2 linked regions of the Astyanax mexicanus genome follow. The main gene of each other region encodes a partner of the protein of the gene in region 2 in a complex. Links are inferred from orthologs where the notes say so. Each region holds a gene or a part of one and is shown on either strand. Other genes may lie near its edges. The genes, in order: pttg1 and espl1.

Region 1 (7,107 bases), on a different chromosome or scaffold from region 2:
GATCAGGATCAGAAAAGGAATCAGATCAATTAAATTCATTAAATGTGCATGTGTGACACACTAAGGGCTACAATACATGAATTATAGGAGTGACCGTATATTATCCTTTATTATCTATTATTTAAATACTGCAATTTGGTAAATACAATACATCCAATTATTTTAAATAAGTTAGACATATGACTTTAGCATCCAGGCATCTGTACAAGGTTGCATAAATCATAAGTCTAGTGCTGTTAGACAGCCAGTGTTGTTTATTTAGCAATTTGATCAGTAGATTTAGCAACTTTTCAGACCAATCTTACAAATTATATATTATATTATATTATATTATATTATATTATATTATATTATATTATATGACCTTTAACTCTCTGAATTGAACTTGTGGCATTCTACCTAATAGATTAATAATGGTATCTATACAGATATCTATACAGCTTAATCTATCAATTAAAACAAACAAATAAACAAATAAATAAATAAATACATCTCAGTAACTCAGTTTTTCGGGAGTTAAAGTGAGGTTTTGGGTCCCATTTTCACACACTGTAAATTTGATACTCAAGGAAACATTTAATGGATTAAAAGGTTCCCTTAAGAAAGCCCTCAGATAACTTCTTAGGCAACACACTTATCAACAAGGGATGATCATTAAGAGCATTAAAGCCTTTCATGCAACCAGGCACTGGTCCTTGGTGTTGTTACTATAGTGAGCAAAATTTCACTTTATGAGCACTTCATTCCCAGGTGTATCTAAGCTCACCAGGTGCAGACTGAAGCCTCTGTCGAGATTTGAGGTTGGGAGCGGTGAGCCTGCCGTTTTCTTGGTCGAGGTAAATCATGGTATCCATGGTGTTTCACTAAAAGAAGAATATTTAAAAGAAATACTTAGAACAAGTGAACAAATCACAAAAATTAACTACAATAATTTCTGAATAATCTAGCCAGCCAATATTTTTACCTTTAAATAAACACTGCAGTAGCACGGTTTGACAATGTAGCACACATTGACAAGACACCGGTTCTTTTTATTCTTGTAGTTATTATTTTGTTATGTTTATTAGTTTCAAAGTAATCGCAAAGTACAGGAAAACAGCACACATATATACATATATATACATACATACACACATACACTGTATGTATGTGTGTATGTATGTATGTATGTATGTATGTATAAATAAAGCAACTTCGCTACTAGTACTAAAAGACTATATGAAATAAGACAATGTTAACCTACATTTAAATGTTATACTGCCTTGTCCCACATTTCATAGTATAAGGCACACGTTGGATTAAAATAATGGACATAAAGGACACTTCTTCCATTAAAGAGTTTTCCCATACAGTTAAAGCTGGCTGTGGCTCTTTATGTTATGGTCTTGCCTCTACGGTGGCCGAGAAAGCCCAACGCAGTGCAAATTGAAAAGCGCTGCAAAAGCACAAAACACATCCATCAAAATTACAACACAGGCGCTGCAACTAGAAAAACGCGCTGCAAATAGAACCACAACACAACGGAAGTGAGTCACAACACAACGGAATTTTCCCGGGGGACCTTAAAAGATATACCAGCTAAGCTGCGTCTTCAGTAACGTCTCGGACTTCACTATGTGTACAAAGGACAATAAGTGGCAAACAAGGCGTTTTGTGAAGCAGAACTTTTAATAATATGCACACAACCGTGGTAATCACAGGTAATAAACATAACTTACTTTTCAGAAGCTTGTTTGCCACTTATTGTCCTTTGTATACAGCTGGTACAGCATCTTTTAAGGTCCCCCGGGAAAATTCCGTTGTGTTGTGACTCACTTCCGTTGTGTTGTGGTTCTATTTGCAGCGCGTTTTTCTATTTGCTGCGCCTGTGTTGTAATTTTGATGGATGTGTTTTGTGCTTTTGCAGCGCTTTTCAATTTGCACTGCGCTGGGCTTTCTCGGCCACCGTACTTGCCCCATGTGTAGTAGGTTAGCTACATCTTAACTAGGCTATAAGTTCGAGTAAAATGAACATTGTTGTTTTATTCTATAAACTACGGACAACATTTCTCCCAAATACCAAATAAAAATGTTGTCAATTAGAGCATTTATTTGCAAAAAAAAAAAAAATTGAAATAGCTGAAATAACAAAATAAAAAGATGCAGAGCGTTCAGACCTCAAATAATGCAAAAAGAAAAATACGTTCATATTCATAAAGTTAGGAGTTCAAAAATTATTATTTGGTAAAATAACCCTGGTTTTTAACCACAGTTTTCATTCATTTGCATGTTCTCCTCCACCAGTCTTACACACTGCTTTTGGATAACTTTATGCTGCTTTACTCCTGGTGCAAAAATCTATTCAAGCAGTTCAGTTTTTCAGGTTTTATGGCTTGTGATCATCCATCTTCCTCTTGCTTATATTCCAGAGGTTTTCAATTTGGTAAAAATCTAAGAACTTATTATTTTTATGTTGGTCTCCTATTTTTATACATTTTTTCGTTCTGCTGGAAAAAAAAAAATCCCTGATGTGGGAATAATAAAGTCAAATTTAGCTATGTAACATATTAAACGTTATCTTAATATATGACTTTCTCTAAGAATAATGATTTTAGGCTTTAAGTTACATCTGTATGTAAACTTAAAAGTAGTAACGTTAGCTAACATGATTTTATTGTCTGTATTAATAGGCAAGGAAACTATTTTTTACATATAACTTAAGCTAGTTTGTTTACAGACTGTCTCAATTTAAAAACAGAGAGAATATTGCTGGAAAAATGAGGTAAAGTCATCTAAAGTAATTAAATAATAAGTTAATAAGTAATTAAGTTTATAGAGATACTACGTTAACTGTTTCCCACTAAACTCACCCAGAATACACCTCAAAAACACTCAATAACAGCATAACACACAGCTACACACATCAACACGATGATAAACTATGTCTGTAAACTTACCAAACAGCGGATAATCCCCGATAAAGCGCAGAAATTTCGCAATAAATCGCAGTTTTCTCTCTGTAGATTAGTCAGGTTTCTCTCAGTAAATAAACGGACTTGTTTTGGTTTCAACTTTCCCGGTTTTAAACCCCAACTCGCCTCCTGATTGGCTGCTGCTCCGCCGCTCTTCCGCCGCGCTGTGTTCAGCTCTGTTTATTCTGCGGTGCTGCCGCCCTGGGGCCAGATCACACCACTGCGAGTTTATACAGCCATTATATACCATAAATTCTATTTATTATATTAATAGCAGAAATGTGTTCTTTTAAAGTAAAAAAGCATACCTGTCCTGATTATTTTTTTTTATAAACATTTACTAACCTTTAAAAAATACGGACGACAAAAAAATGACATACGTATAAATAAATAAATGCACATATATATATAACATGAATAAATATATAAAAACATGAACACACGCATAAATAGTTGTAGAGATAAATAAATTAATAAATACATGTTGAAAAACGACACACTTAAAATTATAATTAATTTTATAATATATCATTTTATAATTAAATAATTATTTCCATATTTTAATGCGTCAATATTAATTTATTCTACATTTATTTATTTGTTTCAACATTTGAACATTTATTTATTCATGTATTTCCACATTTCTTCATATATTATTTATTATTTATTTATTTATTTATTTATTTATTTCCACTTTTCATTTATTTCAGTATTTCTGCATTTGTATGTTAATTAGGTAGCTCTAAAGCAGGATTGGTCAACTGCTGAATCAGACGAAAGCAACTGGTTTCTTACTGCTCTAATGCAAATGAAACGCAAATTGAAATAAATTAATTAATATATAAATAAAAGCAGAAAAAAATAAATAAATAAATGTAGAAATACGTAAATTAATAAATCTATAAATACATAAAATGTATTTATTAATTCATGTATTTATCTATACATTTATTTATTTATTTAATCACTCCTTCATTTATATGTGCATTTGTTTATTTATACTCATGTCAGTTTTCATCCTCCTTTAAAAAATGCTTTTACTGTGGTAATTTCCGCAGACACATCACAATATGCAGATCAGTCTATCAATAATATGACCCCCCTGCTGACATCCAGAGGTTTCCTGCTGCTGCAGCTCAGCCAATCAGCTCTCCCTCCTGCCCCACCTCTAAACCCATACATCACTCAGTGCCCCTCCCAAACTTCCCCTCCCATTTTTTGCCTTTTTTAAATTTAAGCTGAGGGTGAAGTCAGCAAAAATCAGAAGGTTAAGTAACCCTTTAAACACCTGAAATAAGAGTCAGAAACGGCAAAATGCAAACAAAACTGCCATAACCGCCAATATTCAGCATATAAGCAACATTACAGCACCAATCAGCTCACAGTTGCAGTAATGCTACTGTACAAAAAATGGAAAAATACAGGTATGTTTTCTTTGATTATTTAGAGAAATACATAAATTTACTTCCCAAAATTAATGAAATACATTAGATAAGTAGTTAGTTACTATTTTTAAATAAGTGCTTAGCATTTAAGCTCCATTCAACAACATTTAACTCATTGGTATGATTTTCTGTGATAATAATGGAGATGGGAAATGGGCAGTTTCTCTATAAACCGTCTCTGGGTGAAAGTCAATAAAACCCCAAAAATTCAAGCAAACAAACAGTAAGTCGATTGATAGTTTAATAAGTATTAATAAATGAATCATATTGCAGCCTATACAGAAGTGCACAAACAGCATACACATGGAATTTATCAGCCAATAACAATCAGATTCCCTATGCTCAATCTTGCAATAAATAAATAAATAAATAAATAACTGTATACATTTTTAACGATGTAGAAACATGAAGGCCATTATATATATATATTATATGGAAGCCAACAACAACAAAAATACTGAATAGTCACTGAATTTTTTCCTTTGTGCTTGTGTTTGATTTGTGTGATCTGTTGTCTACGTTGTCGTCGTCTGTTGTTTGAATGGACTGCTGGTCCAGTTCAGCATTACAGGGCACTTAAAGACTTAAAGAGTGTTTTCAGTCGTGAGTTTAGTCCTCGGAGTCGCCGGGTTCACTAGGCCATTGTGCGTAGATGAGTCCAGTGCGTCTGTTTGATTAGATGAAAAGGTAATACAGCCAGTATAAGATGTTGACCAGGAGAAACGCCACAGGGAACAGGGTGCGGGAGTGGCGGTCGATGTTGTGGGGGTTCTCCACGCTCATCATGGACGCCGCCCTGCGCGACGCCTGCTTCACCGAGGACAGACCACAGCCGTTCCCCTGCTTATTCTCTGTTTGCTCGTCTCCCTCAGACTGCACAGACTGCACAGACTGCTCGCTCATCTCTGGCTGTGTTTCTTTGCTCAGGGCTTTGTTGGGTGTGGTGGACGTCACTAATTGGATGGTGCCGTTTCCATTCGACTCCTCAAACTCCTTCAGAAGCTCCTGAGACAAAGTGAATAATATAAGTAAACAAAATTGTAGTAAGTTATACTTTAAAGCATTGAATTGTCATAATAAAACAAATGTAATTGTCATTTTTAATGGTTTATGTCTTTAAGAAAAAATAGAAAATACTTGAAAAGTTATTTTATTTCAATAATTCAGTTTAAAATGTGAAACTCATATATTATATAGATAATACTATTACCCACAAATGTATCTATTTTAGGCATGTATTTATTTCATTGTTGATGATTGTGCCTTACAGCCAAAAATAAAATAAAAATGATTATTATATAAGACCAATTTATACTTTTTAGCAGTGTGGGCAGTGTGCCAATTCCTGCTGGAAAATGAAATCCGCATCTCTATAAAAGTTGTCAGTAGCAGAGGGAAGCATGAAGTGCTGTAAGATTTTGTGGGAAAACAAAACTGCACTGACTTTAGACTTGATAATAAAACACAGTGGATCAACACCAGCAGATGACAGACATGTCTCTCCAAACCATCACTGATTGGTGGAAACTTCACACTAGACCTCGAGCAGCTTGGACGGTGTGTCTCTCCACTCTTCCTCCAGACTCTGATCTCTTGATTTACAAATGAAATGTAAAATTTACTGATGATCAGTGATGGTTTGGAGAGACATGTCTGTCATCTGCTGGTGTTGATCCACTGTGTTTTATTATCAAGTCCAAAGTCAGTGCAGTGTTTTCCCAATTGGTGGTATATAATGTTAAAATTTTCTGAGACACTGATTTTTAGGTTTTCATTGGCTGTAAGCCATAATAATCAACAATAAAATAAATAAAGACTTAAAATAGATCACTCTGTGTGTAATAAATATTTATATATGTAAAATATACACAGAACACTTACCCTCTGTACATCTAGAATAGTTTGGTGCTGCATGGTGCAGAAATGTGCACAGGCGTACTCCAGCAGAGCTCCGAAGATGAAGGTGAAGCAAATACCAAGATAGACATCTATGGCCTTGATGAAGCAGTTGGCGTTGGGCAGTGATGTCCTGGCACCCATCATCAGAGTCGTCATCGTCAGAACTGTGGTCACTCCTGTGAAAAATACATATAATAGATAATAGATCACCAACTCTACCTCTTCACAACTTTACAACTGATGCTCTCAAACACTTTAAGAGGCAAGAAATTGAAGTAATTAACTATTGATGAGTTCGGCACAGCTGTTAACTGAAAGCCTGAAATTCTAGGTGATCATCCTCATAAAACTGACTGAAATAAAGGGTCTAATTTAAGTTAAAATGTAAACATTTTTTACAATTTTTCATTTATAAAATAATTTCATATGTATTTCTGGTAACACTTTATTTTAAGGAACACAAATTAGGCGCTTATTAATGTCTTGTTATTTGCTTTAATTAGACATTTGTAAATTATTTATTCACTAATTATGAGGCTTTATTCTGTGTCATAAGTGTTATTGGTGCTGAATTAGGGGTCTATTATGTGGAAATTATTAATAATAGCTGTATTATTTCTTATAGTGCACAATAAACAGTTATGTCAGCACCCTGTTAATCAGATTATTAAGCATTAATTATTAGCTAATTCTACATGTTATTAGTGTTATTATAATTGGCAGCAGTTTGATCTATGTGAGTTTATGGTAAGGTTATGGCTGTACTGAAGTTTATTGAGCTATTAAGGGGTTAATAAGTCAGTAATAGACCA
Region 2 (7,889 bases):
AAGGCTTCAGCCTGTCAAACATCACATACATATTATAAACATTTTGCTATTACATACATATTACCAAATTTACATTTAAAAAGACATTTATTTCTGAAGTTTGCTTTCTGATTTTTGCTCTGAACCTACAAGGTTAACAAAACAGCCAATGGAGTGATGTAACATGGAAAAACTGATGTGAGAAAATATTGGTCTAATAATAAATAAGATGTGACACGACCACCTATGTGATTTCTGACACTGTATAACTGTAATAAAAAATGGCAAATAGAATCATGCTACCTGGAGACAGACAGTCTTTCACTTGCTACTGACTGCTGGCTACCTTAATCCCAGACTAAATACTCATACTTTAGTCTCATAGCAAAGTTGCTTTATCACCCCTTTGAAATCAAGGATCTTTTAAACGAAATCTATCTGCATACCTCTGTGGAGTATGTCTGCAGTCTGTGGTACATGAGCTCCCCAAGTCGACTGGCTGGGCCATGAGCTCCTTGACTAACCAACTTCTGCAAGATGTGGAAGATTATTTTCTCAAGGTAAAGTGGGCATCCCGATACAGCAGGGTCAGCATTCAAGCCATAACCTTTTACTGCCAACTCTACAAGATCCACCAGACGCCCTTGATGATCTGGCTGTAGAGGTCCACTGCCAAGCCTCTGGTTGCATGCTCGAATAATCCGGTCACAAACTGTTCGCCCCCAAGGTCCAAGATCTTCATTCACGTGTTTCTATAACAAAATACAGCAGAGACAATTTGAGGCCTATACTTAAAATGTTCAGAATAGATTACATACTTTACACTACTAATCCAAATTAATTAATTTGTTTTTAACTTACCTTCAACTCATCATGAAGAAGAACAGTGTCCTTTATAGAGGATATCCGTTGTACGTACTCATCTGTTTTTAGACATTTCATTCTTCCTTTTCGGCTCTTGCTGCAACAGACAGTGATTTTGTTAAGCCATATAATTCTAGTCTATGCAAGATCATATACATAAATACAGATCAGAAGATGAAGAAAGATTATAAAACTTAAATTTTAATGCAAAATGCGACGGGGAACATTTCATTCCCTTTAACAAACTAACAGAAGCACACCAAGAAATTAGCCATAATATTCCTTAAGCAAGTTTTTCTACCAACAAATTTGTCTACTTTTGCAGACAACATGGTTTAAAAGTAACCTAAATCATTGTGAACAAAAGGCCATAAAATGCTAATTGTGGCTGTAAATACAGATGCATCAGTTTTAGTCAATATTTTAAACCAACATTTGCTGATGCATTTATTGTATTCTGGAAAAGGACCAAATGATGCAGGCCGCACTACTTTAATTAGCCAACATTAAGCAATTTGTAACAAAATGAAAACAAACTTTAGTAGACATCACTTATTTTATTATTTTATTACAGTTGGTTGAAAGCTATAATGTAAGGAAATGAAATTTTGTAGTGTGCGTCTGTCAGTCTTACATGTGTATTTCAGCATCAGCACATATATAGCCTACATGGGTAATATCGAATACAAGCACTGGCCCAGAATTCCCACACAGGTGCATCCCTAGCTGTATGGGAAGCCAAATGCTTTTCAAAGACTTGCCCAACTAGAAATCAACACATTGATAAATTGTGCCTATAAGATCTTGTAAGAGCTGTAAAAGCTAAATAAAACACGCAACATACGGATGTAGTAATGTGTTAAGTATCTGAGAACTGTTAACAAAATGTAAACAAATAAGACAATGGCATGGAAAAAGATTTTAAAACTGAAATATAATATATAATTTATCAGTAGGTAGTAGTAAGTAGAGGTGAACCATACAGTATTGTACGCAATAATATTGCCTACATTTTTGAATATCGCAAACAATATTATACCATGAAATATCTTGCCATATCATCCACCCCATTAGGGTACTACTTTTTTTGCTGTCTTAGCAAACATATATACCTACTAGAGACAGATTATAGCTGCCCGGTATAATTTACTTTACTTTACTTCAGTACTGAATATATAGAGATAGGTGGAGTGCAATATTAGTATCATGACATTCTGGATCATTGACTCCTGTTACAAATCATATAAAATTCTTGTATTCTTCATCTCCCAGGTAGGGGTGTACCATATCATATCGTATGCAATAATAACATTTTTAGTTATTTGATTTGCTGCAGCAGTGTATTCTCGAAATATGTTTAATTCAGTGTTTTGTCATCGCGAAGTGTATCGTTATCGCAAAAATTCCATTATATATCGTGATATTTTTTAGGGCCATAAAAAAACATGAACAGGCTTGCGACAAAGTACAGCTGGACTTCCTGACAGAAGGTGAGAAACCTATGATAGGCAGCTAAAGTAAATTTAACTTAGTTTGCTAGTGTAGCATTAGCATGTAAATAAGAACATTTCTATAGACCGATAACTAATTGATCTAGAGTTTTCTTGTTTCAGTTTAATACAACCGCGCTGTACTGACAGAATGGCAGCTTAGTGTTTACACTAAGTGTTTAGTAACTTACTTCCCATATAGCCAGACAATAAAAAATATAGCTAACGTTACCTGGTTGTTTACAATTAAAGCAAGCTAGGCTAGTTAGTTTACATATCTAACGTTAGCTTGCTATCCAGCTGATTTACAGCAAAACAATAGAATTCAAAATAAAAAGACATAACTAAACCAGCCGGTAAGTGACACTTGTGTTTGGGCTTAGGGTTCAAGTACTAAAGCTTTATCTTAGCTAGGGTTATATGGAGCCCATGGTGATTTAAAGCTAGCTAGCTATGCGTCACAAACGCTTTGAAATGTGTCCACTTTAATTCATGAAGTCCCTAAACTGTTAGCGACAGCTAACCTAGCCAGGTAGCTAGTTAACTAGCCAAGCTAACCTAGCTAACGCTAACTAAGGTAACTCCATCTTAGCTAGCGTTTGCTAACGGTTAACTTAGCTTAGTTAGCTGAAACCAGGACGAGCAGAACAGCGGTATGGATAACATTATCACTTACCGTACTCCTGAGAAATGACCTTATTTATACGAAACTGTTTTTATAATGTTTCTATTAACAAACGTTTCAGCGACACTGCTGTAATTCACACATAGCACTAGATAGAGCCGTGAACCGAACAAACAGGGCGACGCGCACTTATTCAAAATAGCGCACAGCTTGTCGGGAAATGTAGGACTTGCATTATGGGTATTGTAGTACAGAAAGCTTTGGGTTTCACCAGAGAAACTGTAAAGGAGAATACCCAGTTAAGAACCTATGTTGGTTTCTCTGACCGGTGTTCTGTCGATTTGTGCTACCCGTTCAAATCGCGCTGCCGCAGTGTATATTAACTTATAGAAAAAAATAACGTAAATAAAACAGCAGGCAGGATATCTCAATAAGGCATTCTCAATCAGAGAATGCTACAAGCTGAAGTACAGGCAGCATATATGACTGGCCTAAAGCAGTAAATCTTGGTTTCTCAAAGGGTTCTGGGGTACTAATTTTCTCTTTCATGAGGTCTCCTGTGCTTTTATTCCCGTCCAAAATGACAATGTATGTGTTTTTCTCAGACATCCTCTGAGAAAATTCCAGGTTGAATTACCTACTGTTTTTCTCTGAACTCTGTGATCGTAAGGTAATTTTTGACCTGTCTGGACTGACATCCCTGAGTTTTACCTCACATTTAATAGACTAGCTATTTGTCCACTTCTACGCACTGTAATTCCACTTTGGGTGTGTGTTTCCACGGAGATCCACGTAAACACAACAGCAAGTGGAAATGGAGGAGCTACTGAACACGATGTCACGTGACCGAGAAAGCCAAAAAACTCACTGGTCCTCCTGTTTTTTTTTCAATTGCACTCTGGATGCCAAGTTTTATCACCGAGTAGAAGTGTGAAACATTTTTCACAGAAGAATCCCATCTGGATAGGGCTTAAGTGTGATATATTTTTATTCTTTTTACTCTTGTTACATTGAAGAAAATAATAAAAGCCAACCAGTAAACCTAGATTATATAATCCGCCCAAGGAAAACACAATTAGTTAAAAAACACTTGTAAGCATTTAAAAACCGTGGTTTAGCGCATGCGCAGGGATGCTAAGTAGCACATATCAACGGGTAGCATAAATCAACAAAACACTGGCCGTGCTCCCGAGAGTCCAAAATGAATGGGTTCATATGGAGCAACAGAGCAAAATCATAGTTTATAGCTAAATAATAATAATCATTATAATAAATAATGTTCATACTGAACAATATACTTGTTTCTTAATACAAAACAATATAAAACGTTTCAGTACTGCAGACATATTTTTTAAAGCTTTAAAACTCATGTTAAAAACCTTTCAATCAAACCAGTAAGCTCACAATAGCAGTAACGCTAGCGTCTCAAACAGAGAATCACTTACAGAGAGGAGCATATCCAGCCCAGAACGGCCCATCTCCTGGGTTTGTTTGACCACCAGAGGGCGCGCCCTGATGGGCCCCAAAATAAGTGGGTTCATATGGGGCTACTGACCAAATTTAGAGTTTATAAATGTTTAATAATTTTCATACTGAACATTGTACTCATTTTCTCAAAACAGAACAATATTAAATGTTTTACTACTGCAAACATATTTAAAGCTTTTAAACTCAACAATTATAAACCTTACTGAGCTGTCTATTCTACATTAATTTGTATTACAACAGTAAGCTCTGTGTATTAGGGGTGGGCAACAATAATCACAATTTCTTTTATAATTTTTTTTAAATTCAATTTTTAGTAAAACATTTTTTAATATTAAGTACGAAAAAATTAACTCCGTCTTCATCAGTAAAAATCAATGTTAGCCAATGTTAATCTTTAAGCTCATGCAAATAAAATTCTTTAGAGAGAATATAAAACATATTAATAATACATAAAGCTGTATTTAATTAAACTAATATAATGTATATATTATAACTATCTATGATAATTGTCAAATACATTCTATAAACAGGGAATATTCCTTTGGGGTTCTATATATTTTAATAAACAAAATTTACATGCACTTCATTGTGATCTCCAATGTGCAAAAAAATAAACTTTAAATAGTCCATTAAAAATCAGCAAAATAGGTATATATAAATGACATATACACAGCAACTTAGAAACACAGTCACTTAACCTTTAATATAAGTCAGTGTTAAAGGGGATTATTTAAATTTAAGTTTGGATCATTTCTATTAATCCATCAAGTGTAAAGAATAGTGTGTTTGTTCAAATGATGTAGAAAACTAAAAAAATCAACAAAAATAAAGATACTTGTTTTTCATTGGATAGCTGCGATATACGTTTCAGTCACAAGAGGTGGGGAAACCCAGTCACATGATTAGGCACAAGCAATCTGAACTTGTGATTTGTTTGAGTAAAACTGATAAAAGCCTGATTTAAACATTAAGAACTTCATTTTGTTTTTGAAGCATTATTGGTTGATTTCTGTTCCAATGTGTGAACCTGGCAACCTACCAGGACACGGCAGACCAGCAGAGTGCAATATAATTATGACTAATTATGAAAGGGGCTATTAAAAAATATAGATTGAGGAAAAATCAGTGACACAACAAGCACAACATCCAAACTCGAGACTTGTACCTCTGTGACTTACTCTCACATTACAGGTAACATCATTCAGTGCCTCGATAATAATAAAAATAATATATAGAATATGAAATGATTTTAGAGCTCACACTTAAAGCTGCTTATCATTTTGCATGCTGCAAAAAACATGTAAAAATAAAAAAACTGATTAACATTAAACTTGCATGTACATCTTAAATGCGCTTTCAATCAGAATGACAAATACATCTGTATGTATAATAATTTATGTTACTGGTTATGGAAATATGCAGCCTATATGTTACTCTGTAAAGCCTGTATAAAGTATTGGTGTATTACAAAACACTGCAAAAATGATACAATCAGAATAGAATACACAGACATATTAATCACATTGACACACTCTCCAGTTCCTTCCTTACAGTCGTGATGCTTTAGCTGTCCTGTGAATGCAGAGGGTTGAGCACTGTTGTTGTGGCTCCTTGGAACAGTGGATTATTAGTCTGAAAGACAGTGAAGGTGAAAGGATAAATATTGAGACAATCTAGCAGAGCACCTAATATTTCTGAAAGAAGATTATAATTTATGGAAACAAGTAAATGAGTAAGCAAATAAAGAGAACCTCTTTCCAATCAGTTTGCTGCTGAGCCTTGATGAAGCTGCGGTATTCCCTCAGATCATAAAGCTCCAGCAGGACTTTGTAGATGATGATAATTGCAATGCCAATAAAAACAATGGCTGATACTGACGTGCCAATGATTATCTTGGTTTTATCAACCGTGCCTATGAACCAGAGGGACAAAAACTGATTATCTGAACATGCATAATTGTTTTACTTGTATAAACATTATTTTATAAGTGGTATTGTTTTTTTGTTGTGAGTGTTAAAAAAAACATTAAAATACTTTTAAAGGGAACTTATGCTCAAAATGCTGCTCATTCAAGACAGTGATGATTACAAACACTTATTTAAACCAATCAACTCAAAACACACAATTAAGAGTTCCTTTGTTCTCTATGGATGAACTGATCCACGCACAATAGGAACAAGGAGTTGAACCGCACACCACATACACTAACATCCCACTCATATACACTATATTGCCAAAAGTATCTGCTCATCTGCCTTCAGTTTGCCTTGAGCTAATCTGAAAATACATGAAGTTTGGAGGTCTGTAGTGATCAACTACAGTTGGATTCTCTGTGGACTGTGCTGTGGACTGTGTGTCCACTCTGGTATTTTATGTTGACGGAGCGAGTTGCATGTCCACTGTGTAATAATAATACTGACAGTTGACTGTGGTATATTTAGTAGTGAGAAAATTCCACAAATGGGCTTGTTGCACAGATGGCGTCCTATCACAGTACCACGCTGGAATTCACTGAGCTCCCGAGAGTGACCCAAACGTTCATGATTTGAATGGGTGAGTGAATACTTTTGGCAAAATAGTATATATTTATATACATATAACTTTATTATTTGTTTATTTGAAAGTAAACAAACAAATAATAGTTAACCATTTTAAATTCCCACCCTATTACAGAATGGTAGTAGTGCTGGAAGAATAAAGGCTACAGTATTTATTGAATCCATTGTTTTGACCTGTTTCATGTACCTGTTTCAGAAGGTTATGGGTTGGCCTATGCTATGCCTGTCTGCCTGCATTGTGACCTCTTAAATGGAATGGCTTATGCTGCCTTCCTTAACCATTAAGAGTTGTAATGAAAACCTGCAGTCAAAGTGAACTATTGCAGCTAAGACGAGTGTAGGCAGGTGAGTGTAAGAACTTACCTGGCAGATTAGCGTACTGGATCTTCACTGTGCCGTCATTGTTCAGCGTCACGTCATAAATGACATCCTTATGCACACATGGCAGCTCATGATTGTCCTTCAGGTGGACCATCTGAACTGCCTCACAAGCCACAGAGCAGTTAGACGAGCGACTATAAAGCTCACTCTGGACTGTACAATCCACACATTTTCTATAAATATCACAGATATACACACAACAGAGCTAAATCAGTATCTAAATAAAACATATTTCAGTGCTGAATACTCAGCAAATGAAAGAACAGTAAAGAACATTAAAATTAATTTGACAAACAGATACTTACACATATGTTTGGCATGGAGAGACAAGATCGGAGCAATGCTGTCCCACAAAACCAGGATTACACTCACACTGGTTACACCTACACTTCCCATGGCCGCTACACAATAGTCCGTGCTCATTCTGACACATTTTTTTGTCTGTTGAGCAGCCACATGCACGGCCCTCGTAACCTGACTCAGTGCAATCACAGGTACCACAGA

The links.
Region 1: the proteins of espl1 (region 2) and pttg1 are in contact, whole or in part, in a cryo-EM structure (PDB 7NJ1), measured with the Homo sapiens proteins. The link is inferred for Astyanax mexicanus from reciprocal best matches to the Homo sapiens genes ESPL1 and PTTG1. Residues at the interface, in NP_036423.4 of Homo sapiens: His402, Thr405, Val406, Tyr409, Ser461, Asn462, Tyr465, Tyr468, Arg505, Arg508, Glu512, Glu544, Thr547, Phe548, Arg551, Gln590, Lys593, Ala594, Val595, Arg596, Thr599, Gly600, Arg603, Gln634, Cys637, Tyr638, Trp683, Ile686, Glu690, Ile697; in NP_001269311.1 of Homo sapiens: Tyr111, Pro112, Glu113, Ile114, Glu115, Lys116, Phe117, Phe118, Pro119, Phe120, Asn121, Pro122, Leu123, Phe125, Glu126, Ser127, Phe128, Asp129, Leu130, Pro131, Glu132, Glu133, His134, Gln135, Ile136, Ala137, His138, Leu139, Pro140, Leu141.

What each region holds. Positions count from the first base shown.
Region 1 is NC_064417.1:50,022,188-50,029,294, reverse strand, and holds the start of pttg1 (securin), read right to left. Parts: upstream 3,093-7,107; 5' UTR 2,937-3,092; intron 864-2,936; 5' UTR 855-863; coding exon 767-854; intron 1-766. Other genes in the region: gamma-aminobutyric acid receptor subunit pi, read right to left, coding at 5,072-5,401, 6,278-6,471. UniProt on the Homo sapiens protein: Regulatory protein, which plays a central role in chromosome stability, in the p53/TP53 pathway, and DNA repair. Probably acts by blocking the action of key proteins.
Region 2 is NC_064412.1:17,117,452-17,125,340, reverse strand, and holds the start of espl1 (separin), read right to left. Parts: upstream 3,165-7,889; 5' UTR 3,010-3,164; intron 941-3,009; 5' UTR 922-940; coding exon 841-921; intron 732-840; coding exon 426-731; intron 12-425; coding exon 1-11. Other genes in the region: itgb7 (integrin beta-7), read right to left, coding at 6,010-6,078, 6,198-6,358, 7,368-7,558, 7,691-7,889. UniProt on the Homo sapiens protein: Caspase-like protease, which plays a central role in the chromosome segregation by cleaving the SCC1/RAD21 subunit of the cohesin complex at the onset of anaphase. During most of the cell cycle, it is inactivated by different mechanisms.